Linked DNA regions of Drosophila melanogaster. The protein of the gene in region 2 purifies or fractionates together with the protein of the main gene of each other region. This does not show direct contact. Each region holds a gene or a part of one and is shown on either strand. Other genes may lie near its edges. The genes, in order: CG10638, Glo1 and GstO3.

What was found.
Region 1: the proteins of Glo1 (region 2) and CG10638 purify together in Drosophila melanogaster (affinity purification with mass spectrometry, with the first as the bait; one large-scale study listed by BioGRID). This does not show direct contact.
Region 3: the proteins of Glo1 (region 2) and GstO3 purify together in Drosophila melanogaster (affinity purification with mass spectrometry, with the first as the bait; one large-scale study listed by BioGRID). This does not show direct contact.

Annotation. Positions count from the first base shown.
Region 1 is NT_037436.4:12,499,556-12,503,311, forward strand, and holds the start of CG10638 (uncharacterized protein), read right to left. Parts: upstream 1,757-3,756; 5' UTR 1,682-1,756; coding exon 1,610-1,681; intron 1,488-1,609; coding exon of another isoform or gene 1,320-1,487; intron 1,246-1,319; coding exon of another isoform or gene 1,076-1,245; intron 1,000-1,075; coding exon of another isoform or gene 657-999; exon of another isoform or gene 646-656; intron 598-645; coding exon of another isoform or gene 418-597; exon of another isoform or gene 246-417; intron 215-245; exon of another isoform or gene 47-214; intron 1-46. Other genes in the region: CG10681 (uncharacterized protein), read left to right, coding at 2,226-2,392, 2,449-2,920; CG10646 (uncharacterized protein), read right to left, coding at 3,070-3,756.
Region 2 is NT_033778.4:7,394,290-7,398,045, forward strand, and holds the start of Glo1 (glyoxalase 1), read right to left. Parts: upstream 1,644-3,756; 5' UTR 1,578-1,643; coding exon 1,506-1,577; exon of another isoform or gene 1,438-1,505; coding exon 1,301-1,437; exon of another isoform or gene 1,229-1,300; coding exon 1,142-1,228; exon of another isoform or gene 707-1,141; intron 1-706.
Region 3 is NT_037436.4:8,517,215-8,520,944, reverse strand, and holds GstO3 (glutathione S transferase O3), read right to left. Parts: upstream 2,061-3,730; 5' UTR 1,992-2,060; coding exon 1,964-1,991; intron 1,434-1,963; coding exon 736-1,433; 3' UTR 650-735; downstream 1-649. Other genes in the region: se (sepia), read right to left, coding at 1-271, 328-355; CG6765 (uncharacterized protein), read right to left, coding at 3,287-3,473, 3,528-3,629, 3,687-3,730.

The DNA.
Region 1 (3,756 bases), on a different chromosome or scaffold from region 2:
TATAATGCGACTCTTGAGATCAGTATATTGTTATTTTCGACCACAGCAACACGTTCGTTTCGGCCAGGAAATTGTGAGCATATCGGAGAGCCGCGAATTGACAAATCGAAACAATATCCGAAATTATACAACTGATCAACGTCGCAAGGCACACGAAAGATTCGATAAACTTTGATAGAGACATTTAGAGAGATACAAATAATTATTTCCCCAGGTGAGCACTTAAAATGTTAATAGGATCATATCTAGCACAAAATATAGTATATTTATATATGATAACGATTGATATGATGACATTTTATAACATTGTAATATTGTACTAAAAAAAAACTAACGTAAAAACTAAACTATCTAACGAGATTCTATCTTATACATTTACATAGTTACACTTTTTTTCCGAACACTAAATATCTCTTGCTAGTACGGATAGTACTGATGATTCTTCGCTTTATCGAATTTCCAGATTCTGCGCCCTGTATTAAAGGTCTTCATTTGGAGCAACTCCTCCGGCGTTAGGTGGAAATCAAATATATCCAGATTCTCTACGAGATGGGCTCGCTGGGCAGCTTTTGGAATAGGTACCGTGCCAATATCGATCTGTAGATTTTTAGCCAATAAATATCTTTATCACTTTACAATTCTAAGGTCGTTTATACCAAGTATCTTAGGATGATTTGAGCTGGTGTCTTGCCGTATTTCGCTGCCAACGCCAGTAGCTTGGAATCAGTGTAGTAATCGGGCAGCGGATTGCAGGCTTTGGGACGCCCCAGTGGCGAATAGGCAACCACGGTGATATTGTGAAATTTACAGAGCTCAATTAATGGGACTTGCACCAATTCCGGATGACATTCTATTTGTAGGTTTGCCGGCTTGATTTGGCAGTTTTCCAGTAATCTCTTCAGCTGATTGGCATTAAAGTTGGACAATCCCAAGCTGCGCACCAGCCCCAGATGCACCAGTTGCTCCATACTTCTGTAGGTGTCCACATAGTCCACATCGCTATAAGTTCCAAAGATCAGTTTCTTTAAGCTTCTTGAATCTAAACTATGTATGTTTAGTTGTATCCCAAACTCACTTGGTCCTCAGCTGGCCATTCTCGTGGGGCATCAGATCTTCATCAGAGATGTAGTCCACGCCCACCGGCGAATGCATCAGATATAGATCTATATAGTCCACGCCCAGTAGCTTTAATTGCATATCACAGGCGTATTTCACCATCTTGGGTTCGTGGTATATGTCCCACAGCTAATTGGATATTGATTTTCGATCTATTTACATGTGCTGGTAACTATATATAACCCATCTGTACTATATCCTACCTTTGTGACCAGAAACACCTGTTCGCGTTTCAGTTTCTGGTCGCCAATAAGTTTAGCTAAAACCTTGCCTATAATGCCTTCATTCCTGTACAGATATGCGGTGTCTATATGCCGATAGCCCATTTCGAGGGCGTGGCACACGGCAGCCTCACAGCGAGACTTCTTTAACTACAGATAACATAATTAACTTTCAATTTCACAATTGCACTTAATTGGAATTGAATGGTAGAAATTTCCATAAACAATTTCTGCCTGCTGATTTATTAGCATCGCCGATGATAAGGACTTACATTGTAGGTTCCTAGGCCCAGAATTGGCATCTCGTAGCCATTGTTTAGCTTAACAGTCGGAGCGAGCTTCATTTTGCACGTTTAAATCAAGAATAAATAAGGAAATTCAATCGCTTAATAAAAAAAAAGCCGGTGAGCATAGTGTGACCAAAACGGCTTTGCGTAAAAATACCCAATGCCATTCTGCTAAGCTTTATTATTTAAATATTTTTAAGTGTTTAAATAGCTAAAGAAACTTTGATTTATATTAAATAGGAACAAATGTTGTCATAAAACAGTGTTAATTTTATGTTAAAAAGTAAAATGTTCAAATTTAATTACGGCAGTGCTTTTGCATTTTGGCAGCTTGCAGCACTGGTTTATAACTAGTACTTAAACAGCTGTTACGAAAATATCTTTTTTTTTAAGAAATCTAAACAAAAGAACTTTTAAAATAGATGGAAACATGAGATCCATTTGAAAACGTAAATAAAAATAGAAAAAACTAAAACTGCCAGCAAACGCACACAAAGCAGAGTTCAAGTTGTCGCAAAGAAACCTTGAGACCTTGAAAAGCAAGTAAACAAATCAATTTTTGTGTTCTCCCTTATTATAAACAAATAAATTCTAGGCTACAATGAGCCACTTGGGCCTTGCGGATGTGCACCAGTCCGAGGATGCCACTCCTGACCTGGAATCCTTCACTGGCTTCGGCAACTCCGCCGCCGAGGCCTTCATTCAAAGTCTCGCAGGAATGGTGAATCAGGGCGATGTGGAGACCATGATACGGGCTCAAAAGCAAATGTAAGCCATTTCATTTAACCAGAGATTATAATAAACATCCAAAATATATCCCACAGGCTGCAACGCTTTGAGAAAACCAACGAGATGCTGCTCAACTGCAATGCCTTATCGCAGAGTCGTTTGAAAAGTGCCAGCGAGGATTTCAAAAGACACGTGAAATGCCTGAGCGAAATGAAGAAGGATCTGGATTACATATTCCGCAAGATACGGATCATCAAGCAGAAGCTACAGTCGCAGTTTCCCGCCATTTACGCCGAAGTTCAGCCGCAGCGTAGCAGTTTGGCTGAGGAAGCCGAGGATGATACGGAAGCCCAGGCTAAAAAGACTGCAGAAACACCTGCTCCTGCTGCCGCAAAACCTGTCCTATCCACCAAGAAAAGTGCCGCCACCATAGAGTACGTGCAGATGGAGGAGGCAGTGGACAATGGCACTGTGGAGATCGAAAACGAGCTGATCAAGCGAGTTTGTTCCGTGGAAACTGCCAATCCCAATGATTCCTCCGACTGCACATCCGAGGATACAGGTTAAGCCTAATTAGCTTTAGTCCCTCGATATATTTATCTTCATATAATAACTTATTGGTTTAATATTTGTATAACCTGCTACTACATACAAGGACACAATTCGTTTAGTTAGATTTAAATGAAATATGCGTAATAATTTAAGAAACTAATGGCTTAAAATATAATCTGGTACTTGTACTGCTTGGGCACCTTTGAGATTATGACGCGACCATCGTAGCTGAGCGAAGCAAAGATCCACGGATCCACATTGCTCCACTCCGCGCAGTAAACGGAGTCCTCGTGCTGATCGAAGGTCTGCAGCAGACCATCTGGCAAGAGTTTGTGCCTCTCCTCGGCATCGGCACCACTGAAGTTGGACTCATCTAGTCCAGCCTGAACCTGCGTCTCCGAACTAACCGATCCCGCACACGTGAGCAGCACCTTGCAGTCACTGGAGCTGGAGAGGATCAGTTGGTCGTGGAATGTGTTGAAGCGAACGCACCAGACCCAATGCGAATGATCGGAGCGCTCGAAAACGGGAGCCTTGGGCATGCGACAGTCCCAGATCCTCAAGTAGCCATCGTCACCGCCGGTGACCAAATGGCACTGCTTGTTGGGATTGCAGTCCAGGTCACGGACCATTTGACCATGCGCATCGTTGATGCTCCAGGCACAATGCTGTGTATCCCGCACATCGTAGGCACTTAGATTGCCATCCTGGAGGGTGAGAAACTGGTGGCCCTGATGATGATGCGACCACTTGCCGCTGGTGAAATGCTGTGTGTGCTTTGCAGATCCACTGGATGAACCACTGGCCGGCACCTCGGCCACCACGCGAGTAGAGGACTCGGCCCGCTGCAT
Region 2 (3,756 bases):
AATAGTGAGGAGCGTGCCTTTGCCGATGAGGCCTACTTTTCAAGCGGATGTTCGGGTCTTTAAACGCAGCGTGCATTTCGGAATCGCTTTAATTTAGCCCCGTTGGCTCCCGTCCCAGACCGCAAATCGATTTTTACATGGGTCACTACATTCAGGCAAACTGCAAGTGCGACAAAACGAAGAACTGGAGTCCCCCGACCCAGTTAGATCACCTGAGAACATTGAAGCAGTGACAGGGTCAATATTGTGATCTCCGCGGCGTTCTGCGCGCAAACACGCATCTGCCCTTGGACTGACTATCCGATCGTTCTGTGAGCAGAATTTTGCATGATGATCTTCAATTTCATCCATATAAGATGGCGTAGTGCAGGAACTTTCAGAAGCCCATTTTCATTTATGTCGGTCGGTTTACAAACAAAAAAAATATGCGCTACTGGGCTGACAGCAACCCTCTATATTTGCATGAAAGGCCTTTGCTTTCACCAAAGGTCACAGTAAACACTTGGTTTCAACAAGAAGGTGCAACGGCATACACCATCGCATACAGCATCGATGGCTGTTTTGAGGGAACACTTTCAGAGCGCCTCATCCCAATTAAAGGTGATTTGGAATGGACGGCACGCTCTCCCGATCTGTCCCCTTTTCCCCAAACGCCAGAAATCGGTTTACGCAATGTATGGAGAATGGGAAACGTCACCTGTCATATTTCATCTTCAAAAAAATATAAATAAAATCTTTAGACATGTACCTAAATTATAAAAACAAATAAATATTTTCCGATGCCTACAATAGATTTTCATTGAGTTCTGAAAAAAAAAGGAAATTATGCTGCCGCATGCTGTAGTTGAAGCTATCATATCTACAAAAACGAGTTACGAAATGTAAAAATAGAATATCCATATGGAACTATCTTTTTTACACGCATGACAATTCTAAAATGCCTTTGAATGAAATTCCATCTGATTGCGGAGGAGTTTCTGTTGGAAGTGTTCCTTGTAGATGATATCTACATCCATATTAAGATTGGTATTGTACCGCCACTATGGACTATTCAAATAACCTTTTCCTAGAGTCATGACATTAGAAGGGCCTACTCAAATGGAACCTTGCGAATCGCATGCACAAACGGAAAACCACTTACTGGGTCAACTCAATGGTGGCCTTGCGGCTCAGCGCCCAGCTGCGTCGCTGCTTGGGATCCTTAGGCACATCGGTGGCGTTCTCGTACCTGGGCCAGATACAAAAGCGATTGTCATTGTATCAATATCAAATTAAGATAAGCCGGAGCAATCGACCTTACCCCAGAAAGTACAGCGAGAACTTGGCCTCGGGGAAGTCCAGTTTCACCAGCAAGGTCATCCCGAGGACGCCCGTGTAGAAAGGCAGCGACTTGCGTGGATCCTTGATGCGGTACATGGTTTGCTGGAAGAGGAAGTCCTGCGCCGCCGACAGCGGGTTAGTTGCGTTGCGCGATGGCGCGGTCTGCCCGACTGGAACCCACTCACCTTGGTGGACGAATCCGGCTTCTGGCACAGCTCGTCCGCCTGGGCATTGCTCAGTCCTGTCACGTCGCCCATTCCGATGCTTTAAGGCAATTAACCAACCACCTGTTGATAAAATCCGCGAGGGAATTGCCAGTGTGACCCTCGCTCAGCCGGTGAAACGTACCATCGGGCGGCGAAAATGTGCACACAATTTTATCGCCAAAAAAGTAAGGTGGGGCTGCGAACCAACTAATTTATACCCTCGCATTTATATGAAATCAAACCACCTCTACTCTGAAATATTGTGTAAAACCAGAAATCCATTTCTGTGCATAATTCTCATTATTCACTTTAAAGTGCAAAGTATATAAAGCATAATGTGCCCATTGCACATTATTCTTATTGAATAAATAAAGCAACTCATAATATATTCTCCATGTAAAATCCAAAAAAAAAAAAATGGATTTTAACTTTCAAACAACGAAACTGTTGTTTGCTTACTATTATTTTCAATTATTATACCCGATAGCCGTAGAGTAAAATGGTATACTATATTCGTTGAAAAGTATGTAACAGGCAGAAGGAAGCTTTTTCGACTATATAGATTATATATATTCCTGATCAGGATCAATAGACGAGTCGTATGAACGTCGAGATCTCCGGAACTATGAAAGCTAGATTCAGCATAGTTAAGAATGAGCATACAGATTCTAAAGACAAAGACGCTGAGCAAGTTTGTTGACCCATGTTGCCACGCCCACAAACCGCACAAAAGTGCCACGCCCACACTTTTGAAAAACCTGTTGATATATTGTTTAGATTTTTATTCGTCTTGTAATTTTCTATCGATGTGCAAAAAAAATTTTGCCACGCCCACTCTAATGCCCTTAAACCGCTTAAAACTGACATGCCGCATTTTTCACGATTTATTACGATTTACTAAATTACCGAGTTGTATATAAAACTTTATTAAAAAATGTGAGATTGTACTAGTAAACCGAGTATTTCCTGATAATTACTATTTTTATTCCCACCAAATTAAACGCAGCATTTAATATTTGTAATTGATTGTTGTCGGTATTATAACTAATTTAACTGAAAGTAATATTCTTATATGCTTTGTGTATAAAGTCGTGTACATGCGTGTTTTGTATATAATATATATTTTATATTTGCTTACCAATTAGACTATTTTACTTGCTGGATTTCATTGTGATCTTAGGCATTTCCGGACATATAATTAGTTATATAATTAGATCTAGATTCTTTAAATATGTATATTGTGTTCATGATTATCTCAATCATTTTGTTGTCGTTTAGTTGCTGTTGATTTGTTAATAATTTGTTGTTGGTGCTGGCGGTGAATGTGTCAAATACTCCTTCTAGACCAAAAAAACCCTCTAATCCTAGGCGCATTTGCATGTACAAAAATTAATTGGTATTATCATCATTTCGCTTTTTCTCAGATATTGGTCGTTTCTCTCGTGGATGGTACTTCATAAATACAATTCATTGTTGGCTTGGCAAATCAAATAGTGTTTATCTCAGTAAGTGTATCTGGACTTCGTGCACGCTCACTTTTGGAAGGAGTTGTGTTTTGTGTGAGTAGAGTATTACTGCTCGCCAGTGTAACAAATTCTTTGGACATTCTGGGGTGAATACAAATATAAACAAAAATGGCTTTCACCAGGCCGGTTATTTCGTTTCACATTTATTTTCTTTCGTTGCGTTTAACTATTGCAAGCTCATAACAAAATCGTAATAGTATAAATTTAAAATTAATTAAAAAACTACAAATAAATTCAAATAAAACATGAGCTAAAAACACAAATGTCTTCATACCGCACAATTATGTGACTAACAAAGAGAGGGATAAATATAGCTAACAAATTAATAAAAAACGTAAACTCAGATAGCTTTTACTTTTCATTAAATTAACTAAATCGCCAACGATAAAAGTAAGCTTGACTACAAAGATGAGCGAAGTAAGGGAAAACAAAATAACACTTGAAAATATCTTTTAAAATATGTTTCTTTGCGCTTTTGGTATCTGAATATATTAAAAAGAAGTAAGGGCTTAAATTAAAATGCGTAATTAATGGCAAAAATCCGAGTGGTCACTTTTTTCTGGAAAACTTAAAAATATTTTCTTGATTTGCAGCATTCTTATTACAAACTAAATAATTTCCTCAGTTGCATCCTCTACATCGTTCGTTTTATCTCCTGGGTATTTTTTATAGTATAAATCTGTGTTTTATTTGCGTGCGATATA
Region 3 (3,730 bases), on a different chromosome or scaffold from region 2:
AATGGATACTGCTCGTCCAGATATTCACAAATCAGTAGCGACTCTGTGAGCACAGGTGGTCCAGGTTCTCGCACGATTTCTAGAGCCGGCACCTTGCCCTGTGGATTCTTCTCCAGCAGCCACTCCGGCTTGTCTGTGAGATTAATGTAGATGCTGTGATACGGGATCTGCTTGGCGTCCAGGACCAGATGCACCCGTTGGGCAAATGGGCAGAAGCGCATCGAGTACAGGCGAAGGATACCATCTTCGGGAACATCCGGCATGGGTGAGCCTAGTGGGCGCATTTATTATCAATTATGATTATCCTGGTTTCCTGGCTCTACCCACCTTTTGCCAAATGCCTGCCGTTACTCATGATGTGCGTGCTCGGGTCCAGAGATGCAAGTGGTGATAGCGATTGTCATTCGAGTGATTTATAAAGTGCAGCTCACTGCCCTTCGCCGGTTGGCTTCGCTTACGCGGCTGAACTTGGTGGCTTGCGGCTGACACACATACCAAGCCATGTGGATACAGTGAAGCCCCCTTGCAACCTGCATATTGCTCCAAAATATTTGTTTAAAACAAAACTTTTTAAGAACTAAGTTTTTCGAACCACGTTCTGTGAATCTGGAACGGAATTCTTGCCTTTCTAGCCTTAATTCATTTCTTTGTCACATAAAATATTTTAGTTTTTATTGTTTTTAGAACATTATTAAATCTCCTTTGTTATATAATAGTTTCATTTTCAGTACCGATCTAAGCCAGCAGATCGTAGTTTGCATTGCCGGCCTTGCGGGTGCGCCAGAACTCGTTGTGCTGCTCGGGAGTGGCATAGAAGGACTGCACCACCGAGTCCGCCTTCAGGAGGGCAATCCACTTGGTGATCTTCGGGAAACGACTCTCGTTGAAGTTGTACTCCTTCTGCAACTTCAACTCGATTACAGAGAGGCGTTCGAACCAGGGCCAGATCATGTAGTCCACGAATCCCGGCTTGTTGCCGCCAAAATATGGGGTGCCCCGCTTGGTCAACTCCTCCTCAAAGATATCAAGTGCCGTCCAGTAATCCTCCAGACCGGTGCCCTGCACAAGGATGTTTATGAAGGCACTGGTGATGCTGCTGAAACGTTCCAGCAGAATCTTGTCCTGTGCCCGCTTCAATGGGTCCTTGGGCAGCAACGGATTCTCCGGGTACTTATCGTCCAGATACTCGGCAATAATCAGCGACTCGATGAGCGAGGGCTCACCCTTCTCCGCCACCAGCTGCAGGGCAGGCACCTTAAGCAACGGACTCACTTCCACCAGCCACTCTGGTTTCTCGGTGAGATTGATGTAGACACTGTGATAGGGCACATTCTTGGCGTTCAGGACGAGATGAGCCCGCTGAGCGTAGGGACAGAACCTCATGGAGTACAGGCGAAGGACTCCATCGTCAGGGAGTACAGGCTTGGGGGAACCTAAAGATAGAATTTATTTACCAGTTAAATTTAGGTTATACAAATAAATCAATAACTTCATGAGTCACTTGTGGAACCCTAAAATCCACCCCTGTATTATTATTTGTTTAGCAAGTCATTGCACTTAAGTTAATGTTGATAGGGCCCAGTCGTGATAAAGCTCAAATTTTGTAGCTACGTTATCTTTTAGAGTGTAAATATTATGGGTTATCTGATATCGGGGTGAAAGCTATAGCTAAAAATGTAAGTAAATTTTACAAATCAAATAATTAATTTAATGCATTACCTACAATTGTAAAAGAATAAAGATCGTATTGAAATTTACCAAATAATATACCTTTCTAACTTTTTAACCAAAAAATCCCAGTTATTCATGCCAATATTCTTTAACATTATGAAATATAAAAATCGTTATTCGATAATTACGCTGAATGTTGGAGAACTTGTTTTATAAATAATACTATAAACACTCTAATGACATGGGCGTTTCTCTTGGCGGCGGCGACAACTGGTTTTGCTTGCTCTCTTACCTTTGGCCAAATGTTTACCAGAACTCATTTTGTTTAATTGCAGAACTGAACAAATTCGCTTAACTGTTGAAATGTCGACGGTGAAATGCGAACTGAGTTTTCTCTTCGACGGCGCTCTGTTTATATAAAGTTTTTTGTTTGTGTTTTAACGCGAATAAGAATAATCGAGCTTTTTGCGACGTGACTCTTAGTTTTCGTTAGCTTTTAAAAACGATTTCTCATCGCAGACGTTTATTTCGATTTAAAACGCTTTACTACATTTGCGATTTGTTTTGTGGGAAGAGACAATCATTTCCTCCGCATTATACATAGTACATCTACTTAGTTTGTTAATAATCACGCCTGTTTGTAAATATAGATATATTTTGTTTTTACATGGTTTGGGGGGAGCTTTATTTTTGTTTTTAATTGAACCTCGGAACTACTACGTACATTTAGAGTTTTAAGTTTATGAACTTTTCGTAAAAAGTTTCGATCGGCGGACTTTCGAAATCAAACTTAATCTATGTACAAAAAAGTTCTCGAAATTTCCGTTCATGCCTTACAAAAAATACAAAAAAGTATTAATACATATACAACAGAGTTGCTGACATCATTGAGTCGCGATAAATAGTTGTTATCAGTAATTGCATTCGAAAAACCAAATTGGAAAGTAATAAATAATGACAACTACACTTGCTGCTGGAATTAATTGTTTATCAAAATGTAAAAAGATCCTTTCGCTGCTTTTGGTCCTACAAATGGGATTTCTTTTGATGCATCCTTTTGAAAACTCAAGTGGATGATTAATTTTTAGTTTTTAATTCATTTTAAAAATGTCCGCAAATGGTAAACATTAAAATTTAATGATTAAACTGTATCGTTTTTTTTCCCGAATCAATTGCGCGTTGTTGTTACGGTAAATACATGGGATAAATAGCTAAAACTAAGTAAATACGTACACTTAAAAAAATTCTACACACTGGAGTTAAATGTTGCTTTGCTTTCGTTTCTGAATTTCTTGCTTTGTCTTGTTTTGCATCGTTGCCTGACGATTTCCATTCTAAGTTTCGTTTATAGTTTCGTTAATTTTTTTTTGTTCGCAATTTGTATTTTGTTTGTTGCTCTATAAAATATGCAAACTGGTTGCATTTTGATCACGGTTCTTGCTGTTGCATATAAACATCCATCTCACTTTTGATTATTGGAACGACTTGAGATTTTTGAAAATGAATGAAGAATATGGCTGTTTTCAAATTTATCCATGGGCATCCGGTTTCGAATCCTTCAGCTTCATTCGCCAATGGTCCAATGGTTCTTTGAAGTTGATCCCTATGGCTGGCCTTAGCCATTCGGTGAGGTGGATGCTCCAGGAGATGTGGTTGTGGCCACTGCATCGCTGTTGCTCATCTTGTGCAGCATGAGGGAGTGCGTCGATCTGGTGGCGGTGGAGCTGGGATACTTTGGCTGCATTTGGCTGTTGGACACTGTGGAAGAGCTGCTGGTCGCCGGCGGTGGCGGTGGCTGCTGGCTGCAAGTGAACAGAGTTCATCAGTGTGCTTTTGCTAGCCCTTAGGACACACACCCCTTCTGCTCGCCATCCTTCTTGCTGTTGAACATGGCCAACTCGATCTCCGTGTGCTGGCTGTTCATGTGGCGCACCCACTCCGCCGGCGTATCAAAGGATCTGCACATGGGAAAGGGAGTTAGTATATATTTTGCTTCTATAACTCCAAACACTTACGTGGAACACAAATCGCAGAGCAGAGTTACGTGATCGTGATCCAT